Elephas maximus indicus: one gene and its partner. The protein of the gene in region 1 purifies or fractionates together with the protein of each later gene. This does not show direct contact. Links are inferred from orthologs where the notes say so. Each region holds a gene or a part of one and is shown on either strand. Other genes may lie near its edges. The genes, in order: INAVA and CEP170.

What was found.
Region 2: the proteins of INAVA (region 1) and CEP170 purify together in Homo sapiens (co-immunoprecipitation; 3 studies listed by BioGRID and IntAct, counting the BioPlex papers as one, with this or other methods). This does not show direct contact. The link is inferred for Elephas maximus indicus from reciprocal best matches to the Homo sapiens genes INAVA and CEP170.

The regions. Positions count from the first base shown.
Region 1 is NC_064836.1:9,348,643-9,356,636, reverse strand, and holds the start of INAVA (innate immunity activator protein), read right to left. Parts: upstream 3,075-7,994; 5' UTR 3,034-3,074; coding exon 2,831-3,033; intron 1-2,830. UniProt on the Homo sapiens protein: Expressed in peripheral macrophages and intestinal myeloid-derived cells, is required for optimal PRR (pattern recognition receptor)-induced signaling, cytokine secretion, and bacterial clearance.
Region 2 is NC_064842.1:20,966,584-20,974,433, forward strand, and holds the start of CEP170 (centrosomal protein of 170 kDa), read left to right. Parts: upstream 1-4,687; 5' UTR 4,688-5,105; intron 5,106-7,850. Other genes in the region: SDCCAG8 (serologically defined colon cancer antigen 8), read right to left, coding at 3,944-4,010.

The DNA of each region.
Region 1 (7,994 bases):
GGCAAGGCAGCAACCATGGGACTCTACATGGGGAGGCCCTGAGGACCAGAGGGCCAGGCTGTTCTTTTCTCTTTTTATCCCAGACATTTTCTCCCAGGAACATCAAAACCATCGCTTCCCCATTTTATTGTTGACAAGGTCTGTGGGGCACTAACCATAAGCCCAGGCCTGTCCCCTTCTCCACAGGAGGGCCACTGTGACCCCAGGTTCTAAGTCCCCAAACATGTGGGACCACAGCCCAAAATGGAACATGTTTCTCCAGAAAAAAAAAAAAAGCCCTCAGGTCTCCCACCCCTTTGACTCTTAAACAAACTGAAAACTGGAATCCAGCCTACTTCACAGTGGGGAAAGCAAGTCTGAGACTGCCCAAATCCAGCAGGCTGGAATTGGAGGCACCCTGTCCCTCAAGGTTTCATCCCACAACCTCTGTTCCTGCCACCTCCTGATTCTCCCCACCATGAACCCCACCTGCCAAGGTCTCAACCTAAGAGGCTGAGCCTCCCTGGGATGCCGGAATCTCAACATAGCTCTGGCATATTTCCGTCCCCACACCCCCCCAGTGCAAAGATAATGAAGTCTGCCCCCTTCAAGCATCATGGAAGAGCCCCAGTCTGTCCCCTTCCCTTTGGCAGCTCCCCCTTCCCACAGCACACCTTCGCATTCCTGCACACACCCTCTTTCCAAACAATGCTAGCTGGAGTTCTCCAGGCTGGCCACTGTTAGGGCCCCTCCTGTGGCAGAGAGCAGTGCTCAGGGTCTCAGCCAGCAGCCCTTCCCTTCCCCCAGCCCTCCACAACATGACAGTCCCTCCCCACCCCCCAGAGGTGCGGCACATTCTTTCAGTGTCACGCGGGGTGGGGGGGTCTTTCTGGGCATAAATGGCCCTTCCTCCACCTTGTCCACTCCCCAGCTCCTGGGGGGAGGAGGGGGAGGTGTGTGGAAGTTTCTGGAATTAGTGCATAACCTATTTTTAAATATATAAAATAAAATTCAGGGAACCACTGAAAGAGGCAATTATGTTGAAATACAGTTCTAAAAATAGAAAAGAGTGATGTATGTCTCTTTATTGACATTAAACAGGATCTAACAGTGGGTCTACTAACAACTGTAATGTTATAGAAGCAATAAGTTCAAACGAAATTTGGAGTATCTGCAAAGACTGCAATGTGATATGAAAATATCTGTGAATTCTATTAGTGGTAAAGTCACATACTGCCAGTGCTTCTGTGGTTCGTTGTGCAACGCTAAATTTCTGTTAAAAAGAAAAACAAAGATGTAGTTTTTTTCCATATGTATTTGCAAACCCTCTGATTTCTATCCACAGGTGCCTTGGTGCCCGTGGGCTGAGTTAAGAACCCCTGCCCACAGGTAATCCCTGGCTCCGTGCAGAGGAGAGAACTACAGATGGTCAACCTTACTGTTTGCATTGATCCTCTGGGATTCTCAATGACCCTTTGCCCCTCCAAATTCACACCCAGCATCTCTCAACACAGCAGAATCTGAATCTGAGATTTGGAATGGGACTGGCAAACCAGACCTCCCACCAAGGACCCCAGAGAGGCTCCATTGGATCTGGCCAAGTCATCCAACTCACAGTACCAGGGAGGTGGGCACTCCAAAGCTCACCTGGGGACTTGGGGCTCAAAGCCATACCCCCAGCCGGTCTAAGGGTCAGGGGACTAATGCCCCAGCCCCAAACATCACAGCATCATCACCAAGACCACCAGTTGGTGAAGAAGTGGTGTTTCCTTGCAAACCTTACAGTACTTGGAATCTGATCCAGAGCCTCCCCCAGGAAGAGGAAAAGCTGCATCTCTTTAGGGTTTTCATTTTCTAGGAAAAGTCCTGGATAAGGAAACTCTTCCACCGTTCTGTAGTCTAATTTTTTTTTTTTTCAAGTTCTTTCTTTAAGTCTTCTGACACACTAGACAGGAATACCAAAAATCCAAACCCGTTGCCGTCCAGTTGATTCCAATTCAGCGACCCTATAGGACTGAGTAGAATAGCTCCATACGGTTTTTCAAGGAGCGGCTGGTGGATTTGAACTGCCGGATTTTTGGTCAGCAGATGAACTCTTAACCAATGTGCCATATCCCCAATAAAAAACAAACAAACAAAAAATGCAAACCCTTTGCCTTTGAGTCCATTCCGACTCACAGCGACATCCCAATAGCATCCAGCAAAGAACTGTCTCTGGCACTGCCAAAATTTTACTTAATGAATTAGCGAATCAATGGTCACACTGCTGGATCCAACAGCGGAGGGCGGGGGGGCGGAGGGAGGGAGGGAGGGCGTTAAGGGAAATGTCCGGGGACCCTCCAGGCGCGGGTGGTGAAGGTGGTCCGGGAGGTGGTAGGTCAGTTTCTAACTGTTCTCTTTCTGGGCTCTCCTCCCTGGCCACAGGGAAAGGTGTTTGCCTCCAAGCGATGGTGGAGTTGGCTGGGTCAGAAAAACTCCACGCTAGCCTGGAATGCGCCCTGAAATCAGACCACCAGGCTTTCTTTAAAAAGCCCCTTTGTCCTGTCCACCCTGCTCCCCTCCCCCACGCGCCCTCCACGTCCAGGCCGGCCTGAGACTTTGCTCCTTTTGTTTGGCTGCGCTCTGGCTTCCCGGAACCTGGCCAGGGGATCCACAGGCATGGGAAAAGTTGAAGGAGAAAGGGTAAAGCGTTGGAAGTCTGCGTTTTTCATAGGCACTCAAAATTCCTACCACTTGGGTAAGATCACCCCATTTCCTGTAGGGTCCTCTCCACTACGGGTGAAGACCGTGGGTTCAGGGGCTTGATCTCCCTAGTTCACCGGCGCTGGGTCCCCCTAAGTTTTCCCCTTACCTGTCCCATGGAGCTCTGGCGCCGCCCAAGAGACCCAGCGGCCCCCGCTCCTGCTTCGCAGCTTCAAGACCTGTTCGTCCAGGCCATCTTCCCTCTCCCCGAGTATCCCCCCGATCTTCCCTCCCCGGAGGTATTTCATTTAACTTCGGCATTTGCAGCATCCCAAATGTTAAAGATCCCAAGACATCTGTCCCCTGGGGCATACCAAGAACCAGAGGAAAGAGGGGAAAGATAGAAGAAAGGATTCGAGATTCCGACCCAAGAGTCCCGACGGGACTGGATATTGAGTTAGTAAGGTGTTAGCAGGGTGAGTACGCCGTGGGGAGACCGACTTGAGGGAGCGGTTGTCCCCCTTCTCCCGCTTTCGAGCGCCGGGGTGGCCAGACACCCCCTGCGCTGCCAGTTTCCGCAGCCCGGGCGGGAGGAGGCTCCTCTCGCGGTCCGAGTGCCCCTTTCATCCGCGCGCTCCGGCCTGGCCGGGGGCAGTTTTCATTCCGGGAGACCCCCACGGTGAAAGAACGAAAGGAGCCGGGCCTGAGGGCGCCGCGCCCCTCCCCCGCAGCGCCCCTCCCCCGCAGCGCCCCTCCCTTCCACGACCCTTCCCTGGCCGTGCGCCGCAGTGGGCTGCCGAGCCGGGCGGGCTGGTGGCGCAGGGATCGCCTCCCCCTCGTCTGGCCGCAGGCTGTTCCTCTTCCTGGGGGCTGGCGGGCTGTCGGAAGGAGAGACAGCCCACTCCTGGTGAGCGCCTCCTACTGCTTCCTGCGAGCCAGCGTATCTCCGTCCGTCCATTCATTCATTCAGTCATTCAGTCACTCACACGTCCCTATTTTCATTTGTTCAATAAACACCGAGCACTTACTAGGGCCAAGCCCCGTCCCTGGAGGATGCCCCAATCTAGGCAAGTAATCAAGTAGCAACAGTATCGGTGACACGAAGGCTAGCAGCCAGAACAGGAAGAGGCAAAGCTGACCCAGGCTGAGGGACCGCCAAGGCCAGGAGGAGGCAGTGCCAGAGCTATCTGGGAGGTATGAGAAGGAACTTAAGGCCGCGGTGACCGATGTACAACAACACGGTGGCAAAAGAACAGGCAGGTTCTAGGAGCGGTGGGGAACTTAGGGTGAGGATGAGGAGGGAAGCGGGTGGAGGAGCTGAGACAAATGAGGCTCAACAGGCGGACAGGGGCTCATCAGAAAGCAGGGAGGCTCTGTGTGGTTGTCCAGGTTGTGCATCAGACCAAGGGAGAGGGGCGACAGAACCGAAAGCTCCCCCATGCTCCACCCACCAAGCTGTGTTCTTTGGCCTGAGCTGTGTCCACCAAGGGGGCAAAAAAATAACGGCTGCCAGCAAGTGAATTCTAGCTCATGGCGACCTCATGTGTTATAGAGTAGAACTGCTCCATAGGGCTTTCTTGGTTCACCCAAGCAGATCACCAGGCCTTTCTTCCTGGGCCCCCTGGGTGGGTTTGAACCACCAGCCTTTAGGTTAGTAGACAGCACAAGCCATTTGTGCCACCCAGGGACCTTTGTCTACCTAGAGTGAGTGCCTTTTTCTAATTGGTGCTAAGGCGCTACCTGAGCCTTGTTGGCTAGCTAAGGGCTTAAGATTTTATTTTGCAATGGAAGCCTAGCTACTCAAGAATGCTGATCGGAGAGATAACCTGGGCAGATTCACCTTTAGACGGTCACTCTGGTGTTGTATGTATGAGTGACTGGGTGGGGAGGGTTTGGAGACAGGGAAACCAGGGAGCTGGCAGTAATCCAGGTCAGGATTGTCAGGGCCTGAACTGATGTTGTGGCAGTGGGGTAGTGGGGGTTTGGGGGGAGATGAGTCAAACGCTGTTCAGGAGGTAGACCTGGCCTGACTCTGTAAGTGATTGCTTAAGAGAAGGGTGATGAGGAAGAGGGGAGATTTCAGACAACCTCCAGGCTTCTGGTTTGGGAGTTCAGCTTAAGATGTGTTCACTTTAGGGCATTAATGGGAATATCCAGCGAGCAGTCTGGTGGGGGCTTTAACGCACCTAGATGGTTGGAGAAAGGGCTTGGGAGTCATCAGAGAGTTGCAGCCCTGGGCTTGGATGAGATCACTCAGGAAGAATGTGTAAAATGGGAGAAGGAACAAGAGGAGAACTTTGGGGACATTTAAGGGATGGAACAGAAGACAAAGTGCCTTAAACGGTATCATTATTATGACTCGTGTGATGGAGTAATTGATTAAAATATTGATCTGTATTTTTTCTCCCATGGAGTCCCTGGGTGGCAAAAATTATTAAGTACTCAACTACTAGTCAAAAGGTTGGCAGTTCAAACCTACCCAGAGGCCCCTCAGAAGACAGGCCTGGTGATCTGCTTCTAAAAGGTCACAGCCTTGAAAATCTATGGAGCAGTTCTACTCTACACACATGGGGTTGCTATGAGTCAGAAGCGACTGAACAGCAACTAACGACAACAACATCCCTTCCTCCATGCCTCCCAGCCCTCCCCCCGTGGATACCCTCGCTCTGGGTGGGCGGCAGAAGCTTCCTGAAGGTGCCAGTCCAGAGCCCACCGAGAGGATGCCACGTATCCTGCTGGGCAAGGGCACGGGTGTGGCCTATGAAGGCCAGGAGGCAGAGAGGAGATGACCTGGGCTAACCTGGGAAGGAGAAAGACAACGGTCAGTGCCCTGAGCAGGAGGGACCCCAAGCACCACTCCACAGCAGGAAGGTGGCAAGGCGGGGATGAGAGTTGAGTCCCTGGGCCCCAGGCTTCCAGCCTTGACAGATTCCTGCATCTGAAATGTGTCCAGGAGGCAGGAGCCCCAGACTATAAGAGGTCCCTGGGCAAGGAGGTTGTCGACACACACCCTGCTTCCTGGACTATCCCTAAGCCATCAGGATTCTGCAGGAGGAAACAGAGTTTCTGGCTCCGCCCAGCAGCCTGAGGACCCATGACAAAATCAAGTTGATATAAAGGACGTAAAGTGACTCCTATGTCTTGTAAATCTGACTTTGTGGGCTGAGATTTGTAGCAATACTGTTACCTTCATTTACAGATGAGAAAACTGAGACACAGAGAAGCTAAATAACCAGTTTAGAGCCACACAGCTAGTAAGTGACTGATCTGGGATTTGAAGACAATTCTTTCTGATTCTGCAGCCTGTGAAAAACTTCAAGTATTTAAGAAGACCAGAGAGGTAAGGTAAAGAAGTAAGTATGTCAGGTAAATTGGTATTCCAGCAGTGTGCTATTTAGTTTGCAACATTTCAACTCATACTTGGCCTTGGTGTATACAGACAAGGGGAGAGGGTGAGCACAAAGGGGCAGGATGGGGACCTCAGGCAAATTAGAAAACTCAGGCTCTGTCTTAAGGGGGTCAGTCACTACAAATGCTGTCACAAGAAAAAGTTTCTGTTTTAAAAACAAAAGCTGGAAATCCAAATTTTTATGTGGAAATCACCTGAGTTGTATATTTGATTTTTTTTTTTTAATTCAAAGGAGTCAAACAACATGTGTCTACATCCCTCCAGCTGCAGTTTATGTCTTGCTCCACATCTCACAGCCTCTTGAAGGAGCTCAGAGCCTGGAACTTCGGGCAGGGAACCGGGGGCCTCTAGGAAGCTGGGACTTGAGAAGCAGGGGTCTTGGAATAGAAGCCAGAGCCCTCCCTGGGAACTTCCTGGCTCAGCTCATGGTTGGGAAGAAGAAGGTGCAAGTTGCTGGGAGAGGCCACTGCACCCCTTCCCACCCCGCAGGGTTGGTTCTCTCCTCCTCTCACTTTGGCTGAGAAGCAGGGTTTCTCCTTTTCCTGGAAGTGGCAGAGGGGTATGGGAAGAATTTTATGAGTTCTGCATCATGGAGAAGAAGGGGACCAGCCCTCTGGAGCTCCTGGAGCTTTGTGGTAGCTGGGTAGCTGTGTGTCTGTACCGGCACCTCCCACATGGCTGTAGAAGGGGGCTCACCCCAGACCTCTCCTGCCTGTTAGGCTCTGTCCTGGCCCTGCCGAGTGCCATATCCGCAGGCCCTCAGGTCCAGCTGAAGGCAGAACTCACTCTCCCCACTCTCCCTTCCCTTCCCCCTCACTCCCTGGACCGGATGAGCAGAGGGGGGTGATGCTCTGTGGCGCAGACAGTGCCCTGTCGGTGCCCTCGGCTAGGCGAGAAATGACTCGGCCTGCGACCCTACTTCCTCCCCTGACCGCATCCTGCAGCTCACAGCTGGGGGCAGGTGCTGGAGGGGCCACTGCCTGGTCGGCCTATGTCTCTGTCTCTGTCAACCAGAACCCTCTTGGCTGGGCGCAGGATGGGCTTCCAGCAGGTGAGCAGTGATGCGAGATGCATACACTCGACTTAAGGGGCCAAGGGTGGGGATGAGGTGGGGTGGGAGGGTGGAAGGGTGGGAGGGTGGAAGGGTGGGAGGGGTGGGTGGGAAGACACTAAGCAGCCTCCATGGGAGGGAGCCCAAGAAACTGGGATCATGGACACTGGGTCTGAATTGCTGCTTGGAGCACATGGAAGGCAACGGAAGACCCCCACACTGTGGCTCAGTCCCCTGGGTAAGATAAGATGAGAAAGGAACCCACTCCCCAAGACACACCCAGCATCCTTTTGGCAAGCAATTCTTGTTTCTAAATTCTATGAGGTCCTCTTCCAGAGTGTTAGATCTTCCTCTCATGCTTCTCTTTCATTTTTCCTTGGCTTTCTGCCTTCCCTTCTCCCCCTTCCTCCTCAGGGCATCTATCTTGGTCGCATGAAATTATAAGATTTCAGGGGCCACAGGGCTGTGCCCTGAGCGCTGCCTGTCACACATGGAGATGCTTTCCTCCCCTCGGTCTACTTGCACCAATTGTAGCTTGTTCTCCCCGGAGGGACCAGCAGGGGGCGTCAGTTGCTAGCAGACTGCTTTTCCCTGTGGGCCAACGATCTTCTGAGTGCCCAGGAGGAAAAACCCCTGAGAGGGAAAACGAGGGAGGTGCGGAGTAGGTTGGCCTGGAATCTAGCGCAGGTCTCTTCCCTTGCTTCCTGTGGCCCTGTTGATGAAGGACTTGAGCCCTTCCCCTCCTGATGTCAAAATCTGGCCTCTCCCTCACTGCAAGCCCCAAGCCCCTTACCCACCTTCCATCCCCTCTGGGATTGCCAGCTTTGGGTGTCCTTTTTTTTTTTTTTTTTTTAGGCCCTGTCTCTCTGGCCA
Region 2 (7,850 bases), on another chromosome or scaffold:
ATACTTTGTACATTCCAGGTTCCGATTATTAATGGATGTTTGCAGCTGTTTCTTCCCACTTTGAGTCATGCCACATCAGCAAATGGAGGTCCTGAAAGCTTTACTCCATCCACATCATTAAGGTCTACTCCACTTTGAGGAGGCAGCTCTTCCCCAGTCATCTTCTGAGTACCTTCCAACCTGGGGGGCTCATCTTCCAGCACTATATCAGATAATGTTCCGCTGCTATTCATAAGGTTTTCACTGGCTAATGCTTTTCTGAAGTAGACTGCGGGGTCCTTCTTCCTAGCTCCCACGTGCCTGTCAGTTTGTTGTACTGTGGGGGCTAGCGTGTTGCTGCGATGCTCGAAGCTATGCCACCAGTATTCAGATAGCAGCAGGGTCATCCATGGAACACAGGTTTCAGCTGAGCTTCCAGACTAAGGCAGACTCTTCCTAGCTAGTCCAATATATTCCTACACTCAAGTTTACAGAACTTAAAACCAGATCCTGGATTGCCTGTTATTCTTGCTTTTCTGACCCCTTCTTGGCCCCAAAGTAGTTTATTTTAAACCTCATAGCTTTATATAATGGTGCATTGAATTTAAATTAGAGGAGGGGCATTTGTTATCCTTCCCAGTTACTAATATAGTTCTCAGCCACTCTGTGTACCTTGAATTATAACTACTTATAATTGAAGATAAGAGTGAACGACACCTAAATATACTGCCAGGAGACCTCCCAAATCACTTCCAACTCTAGATTAACACCTGGGATATGCCCACTTTTTTTCTTTTTAAATCACACTGGAAACTTTGAGATAACTTATTATGTCGGTACAATATTACAGAACTGTGAGGTAACTAAGTTTTTCTGCTAGAATTCTCATATCAAAGAAGAATCACTGAACCTCTCCAATTTCTTGCTGAGAGGCCACAAACAACTCAAACCAGGAGCTATTCTCTGAGGGGTCAAACAAGGACTGCATTTAAAAGTTTAAAGGAAAGGATGAGAGGTGAAAATGGCATCTGCAGATGGGCATGCTGCTTCCATGGTTGTTCCAGGACAGTCAGAATCAAGGAGAGGAAAAATTCCACTTAAGTTTTGAAAGCAAAAAAGTAAACTTTGACTCTGCTTTTCACGTCAGAGCTTTAAAATCTTAAAATACTATAATAGTACAAAAAATTATATTTAAAGTAATTAAGAAAATCTATAAAAATGGAAGAACTATCATGGAAAACTGCGAAAGCATTTAGCATTTTTACTTCCTAATCAAAAAATGGAAATCAAACCCATTGCCATCGCGTCCATTCTGACTCATAGTGACCCTAAAGGACAGAGCAGGACTGCCCCACAGGGTTTCCAAGGAGAGGCTGGTGCATTTGAAGTGCTGACTTCCTGGTTAGCAGCCAAGCTCTTACCACTGAGGCACCCAGGGGTCCCTTTTATTTCCTAGCTGAACATAAATGAAGGAGTATCAGTAATGTTGACATGTACAGTTATTTAATAAAAGAGAAATAATTGTCACGGAAGACCAAGAATATTTATTAGCCTTCCTTTGAGCATGAACTAGGCAAGGCATTTTGGGAAAACAGTGGTGAATATACAAAACCAAATAAATCAACAAAAGCAATACAAGACAAACGAATTTCGAGCCGCAATTTATCTGATTGCATACTAACATAATTCTTAAATTATTAGGCACACTCAAAATAATGAAGTGCCACATATAAAATAACTCTAACATACTTTATATGGGAATACAAATTTCTGTCTTAAAGGGCATTATCTTTTCATGGTTCGAACCCACCCAGGGGCACTGCAGAAGAAAGGCCTGGTGACCTGCTTCTATAATGGTTACAGCCAAGAAAGGCCTATGGAACAGCTCTGCTCTGCCATGTGGGGTTACTATGAGTAGGAACAGGCTCAAAGGCAATGAGTAACTCTTTAAATGAGTGGTACGTTTAGAGTCAGTTATGTTTTCTTTCCTTACAGAAGCTGTGCTATAAACAAATAAAAATTAAAAAATGCTACTAAATAAATAATAAAATAAATCCTAAAAACCCACAATAAATTCAGGTCCCGTTTATTGATACACTGTTAAAAGTAGGATTTAAACACTGTTTTACTATATTCTTTGCCTTCTGGCTATATGTTTTCAGTATTTTGTTATCACATTAAATGAAATGACTTTAAATTTTGTTACATTCAAAAGAAAATTATTTACTCTTTGATTACTGAAAGCAGTACCACTGTAGCATATTACTGCAACATTAATTTACAATTAACTCTTTTACTGTATCAAAATGTCTAATATTAAACAGTTTCCAATGCTTGGATAAAGGCTCAAAATTACGTCAAAAGCATTAGGAGAAACTTTTATGGAGGCCAAAAAATGTTACCAACCTCAAAAACTAAGCAGAACCATTCATTCAGCGCAGTACTTTTCTTGCTTTCAAACGAAAAGTTTTAAGTGATCATATAAATATCTAACAATGCTTGAAACATCATTAGACTGATTCTTTTACTCCTCTAGGTTGAATATTGAGAATGTCGACAGGTTGTAACATTGTTGACAGCTGTAAACAATAAATAACCTTTATAAAGTCTAGAGTTACTAGAAGATAAACTTTGTAATCTCCTAGAAAAATCTTCACTTTGTTGCAGGACCAAGTATAAATAGCAGCTAACATTTAATGATTGTTTCTTAAGTGCCAAGCACTGATTCTTACCCTTATTTTCTATTATAATAATCTGTAATTATTTTATCATCTTTATCTCCCACTATTCCAGAGACTCCATTGGGGAAGGGACCTTGCTTGTTCCTTACTGTGTCCCCAGCACCTAGCATGTGTAAACACAGTAGGCAGTGAACATTTACCAAACGAGTCAATGTTCTAAATAGTTTAAATAATTTTTTTTCTCCAACTGTGGGTTATGCAAATGAAACATAATGGAAAATAGCGTCTATTACACGTAATAGAATAAGTTTTCTTTAGCGATATTTGTTATATTTGCCCCATGTGTACGTCCCACGTAAAATGTAGTTCTTACCCTGGGGTACCATGGAAAAACAAGTAGGAAAATTTCTGCTTTACATGGATTATTTTGTTTGCTCCTCACATTTAACCCTGTAGACAATACATCAACCTCTACTTTAAAAAAACAAAACTGAGCTTTCTAGGGTTATATAAGTTGTCCAAGATGGCAGAGCCATCTACTACAAATATGACCATCACTTCCATAGATACTCACTTATGGGAAACTGTACTAAAATAATCTGAATTAAATGAATAAGGTTGCAGTAACAGTGATTGTGACATGATTAAAACAAACAAACAAAAGGACAGGCTTTGAAGGAAGACAGGACTGAATTCAATCTCTGGCTTTGCCAGTAACCAGCCGTGTGGCCTTTAGCGTGTAATTAAACCTCTCTGAGCCTCGATTTTCCCATGTGTAAAATAGGAATAATCATAAAGTTACTGTAAGTTTTAAATGAGCTAATGTATGTAAATAGCCTAGACCACTAAATAGAAGCTATTTCGATTAAAACCATTATTATTGTTTTTCCCCCATCCAATAAATCACTTTCATCTTACTAAATCAGAATTTGAATGTGTAAAAAGTGTGAATCAGAAACTAATTGGATTAAAGAGCCAAGTATGAGAACTGGGCAAAAGTGACATAGAGCTGTCCACAAGTTTCTGCTGGCACTGGTTGAGAAAGATGCCTAAATCAGGATCAGAGAGTTGGTTCGGGTGGAATCAAGGGAAGCAACGCCGCTCAACCGTCAAACAAACTCATACGATTTCATCCTTCCTTAAAGATTAGAGCAACGCCCATCTCCTTCCTATACAGCCAGGCTGGGGCTTAACCAAGGTGTCAGGAAACGCATCTGGTCAGTTCCCGTCCACGAGGCCCTGGGTACCAAGGGGCTGGGGCACAGAGGTTCGGAGCAACTCACCCCGGAGGCTCCGTTGATATTGCCCTAGAATCTCCTCTACGGCAGAGTTCCCTGGGGACTTCGCCATGCCCGGACCCGGGGCCCAAGATGGGAGTTAAGTGGGACGTGTCCAGAGGGCTCCGCTCAGAGAACAGGCCTACCGCCTGGGGAGGGCCCGCCTGCTTCCTGCAGCTGCTGTCACTGGGGAGCTTGGAACCCGGGACGGAGCTCGTGGGGGCTCTTCCCACCCACTGGCCCTAATGGTGGACGTCGGGAGTGGTAGTCCACAGGCTCAGGACCTCCAGCCTCGAGATACTAAGCCCTTCCAACTACACTACAATTCCCAGAGAACACCGCGCTCCAGGAGCAACTTCGGCGGTTCGGTTGCCAGAGCCGGTTGCCAAGAAACAGCTTGGAGGCCCCGCCCTTTTCCTATAGCTCGGCCTTCATGCCATCCTTCTGTCTGGACCACCTAACTGACGGAAAGATTTCACGGTCGGCCTTGGGAGTCTTCGAAATGTTCTAATACGCGGCTGACCTCTAAGGCTTCTGAAGGACTCAAATGACAAGCTCTGAATCTTTTCATCCTTGAAATTTGTCACAAAGGCCAAATCAATTCTCAAGAAAAAGAAGCTCTATATCTCCGAACAGCCTAGACAGTCTAGCTTGTGAAGGCGGCCGACACTACAAATCCTAGCTTGCCCGGCGACCCGACCTCCCGTTGGCGTTAGCGCACTGCTCGCTGGGAACTGTAGTCCTTGTTGGTTGCGGTTCCGCGAATGCCTGGGTCGTGTTCATTGTTCGAGATGTTCTTGGGACACGCCTGCGCAGTGGGCAGCTGAAATAGCGTGTGGGTGAGACCCTCCGCACAGCCCCTTTTCATTGTCTGTCTTGGCGCCTGCGCAGTAAGGGATTGTTGGGACAGGGCAGGAGGAGGGGATAGGGCTCGGCTCCTCGCCCTTTCCCAAGGCGCCTGCGCACTAGCCGGTCGCTCTTTGCCGTTACCGCTATGTGTGGGGCGTGTGTGGAATAACGTTATTGCCCAGCGGAGCTGAGGGGCCCGGAGCTCGACAGCAGCGACAGCGACAACGACGACGGGGTGGGAGGAGGACGGCGTGCGAAAGACTCACGGGACGCGACGCGCCCCGCCTCCACCGTCCGGTCCCTCTCGCCACAGTCAGGGGTAAGTGATGCGCTCGGCTGCTCTGGCTCGGCGCTGCTGATGTCGCCGCCGCCGCCGCTTTTCCACCTCCTCTTCCTGGGAGAGCCTCGGGTTTGCGGCATGGGCTCGGGGTGCGGGGCCGGGAGGCGAAGGGGGCGCTTCCCGGATGCTCCGCGCGGCGCCGCCACCCCGCCCCGCGCCCGCCTCAGGGGCTCGGCGGGGCCGCCCCTCCCATCCCCCGCCCCGGGTCCCCCGCCCCTCCCATCCCCCACCCCGGGTCCCCCACCCCGGGTCCGCCACCCCGGGTCCCCCGCACCGGTCCCCCTGTCGTGCCGCCAGCCCGGCCTTCTCCGGGCCACTGCCTCTCTTCCCCTAAACGTCTAGAGTCGTTTCCAGCGCCCCCGCCGGCTTTGTGCGGTGCACCCCCGACCCCCGACCCCCACCCCCACCCCCGTAGCAGCAGCGGTTTGTGGAGGGTGCGGACGCAGGGCCCGAGGGAATGGCTGCGCTGGCGCGGGGAGGGGGTTTTTCCCAGATCCGCAGCCCTGCTGGGGCAGCGGACAGAGCCGGTCCTTTTCGTGTGGTCGGTTTTGGGGTGTGGGACGGTTGGGGGAGGTCGAGCGAGGAGCCCTTTTGGACGCAGTTGGAGGGCGTGGAAGACGTGGTGTCACGCACCCCGCCTGGCGATGTCAACCGCGTAGGCTCCAGCTCCATAGTAAACCCGGGGGAGGAGAGAGTGGCTTCCTGTCGGTTTCATTGTCCTGAAATCCAAGTGTAGGGTTTGGTATGGTCCCCTTCGTTTTATGCAAGGGGAAAAAAATAAATAAATATCTGCCTAACACAGGGCGGGAAGAAGTGTAGTCTAGGTCGTAGAATCTGCTTTGGGTGTTTAGTTGAGTTTTATTTGAAGAATGTAAGGTCCTGAATAGCAGGGACTGTGCCTGCTGCTGGAGCCCAAACGCTGCCAAGGTGATCAATATGAAATTACTAGATGAAGAGCGGGCTACGAAGGGACTGACAATGCAGCTGTTTGTAGCAGGGAAATGAACCAGCAGAATTGTTTTTTCATTGGGTGGGTAACGTATTCGTATTCCTAAGAGAATAGATTTGGACACATCTTTCCGTTACATTTTTTTAAGAACTCAAAACAAAGCCAAACAAACAAAAAAAGAGGCCTGGTATATTTCCTCTTTCTGAAGTCGTTTGTTAACATTTTTCATTCTCTTAATGAAATTTCGCCCATTTGGGAGGAATTATAGTGAAGCAGATAATATGTGATTGGGAAAAAATCTTTTAAGATGATTTGATCGTTAAGCTTACAACGTTTGCGGGCGTTTCTACTTAAGATTAGCAGAAGAGAGAATGAAGCAGGGTGGGGAGGAGCAGATGGAGGAAAAATGTAAGATTGTGGGAGAGAGTTACATTCTGAATACGGTATCTAGATCTTCACTGATAGAACCCAAGTTACAGGCATGCTTCAAAGATTTCAGAGTTCAGCTCTGGAAATATTATATTGGTGAATGGCAGGTTACAAGAATTTTGTTTTTTCTGCCATTATTTTATGTTCCCCAGGGCTGCTGCTTGTTCTTTCCAACTTTGTAGATACTGTAGAATTTTGGTATTTTAAAACAGAAGAGTCTGAGTGCACTTGACAGAAAAAAAAGAAAAAAACCCCACTGCTGTGGAATGGATTCCCACTCGTAAGGACCCTGTAGGACAGAGTAGAAGTGCCCCATAGGATTTCCAAGCCTGTAAATCTTTACGGAAGCAGACTGCCACATATTTCTCCCACAGTGTAGCTGGTGGGTTTCAATGGCCAACCTCTAGTTTAGCAGCTTAGTGCTTCGCCACTGCATCACCAGGGTTCCTTCACTTGACTGAGGGAAACACTAAAAGTCTGAAAGTTAACTGACTTGTCTCCAAGCCAAACTGCTAATGGAAGGCAGAGCCGGATAAAACCACGATCTGTTCTGCAGAGTGCTGTTTCCTGTGTGCCTTGTCTTCTAACCCTAGTACTCCTACGCTGTGAAGATTTATGGATACCTTCTCTACATGCTTTTTCGACTGTTTCTTAAGAATCAAGTTCATTGGTATTCCAGTTGTATTAATCTAGTCCTTTTTCCTTGTGATGAAAGTAGCAATTCTGCTGAAATGGAACTTAGTTTTTTAAAGTAACTTATTGGTATAAGGAAAGATGCCTTAACATCGGTTTTTCATAAAGACAGAGACTGTTGGAATTAGCGACCATGTTTTAATATATTTCTTGGTATTCAATAGCATTTTATAGTATGATCAGTTCTGCAAACTGTGTTAAAACTAAAACTGTCACATAAGAAAAACCTATTAAGTTCATTTTTCTTTGATTAATGGATTATAATATTTTTAACTTAAGTTAGAAGTTACCTACTGTGAAAAAATTCATGTTGGACTGTTTTTCAAAATTTTAAGCTTTTTTATTGAGTTGATTTTGCCATTAATCCTTTTATGTTGCCTCATAATTTTTATCCTTTAATTCCCACATTGGATTTTTATAAACATATTTTCTTTAGAATTTAGTAATACTTCATTTAAATTTCGACTTAGTTTTAAAAAAGTAGTCTGTAATTAAATCCCATATGCACAATTAAATTAGACTTTAAATATATTTTACTGATAAATTTCAGTGTTTTAAAATTGTGTGTGAAAATAAGTAAATCTGCATGTTTTCTCTCAATTGCACTGTAGACATTAGCATACATTCTGCATACTTGTTAATGCAAATATCAG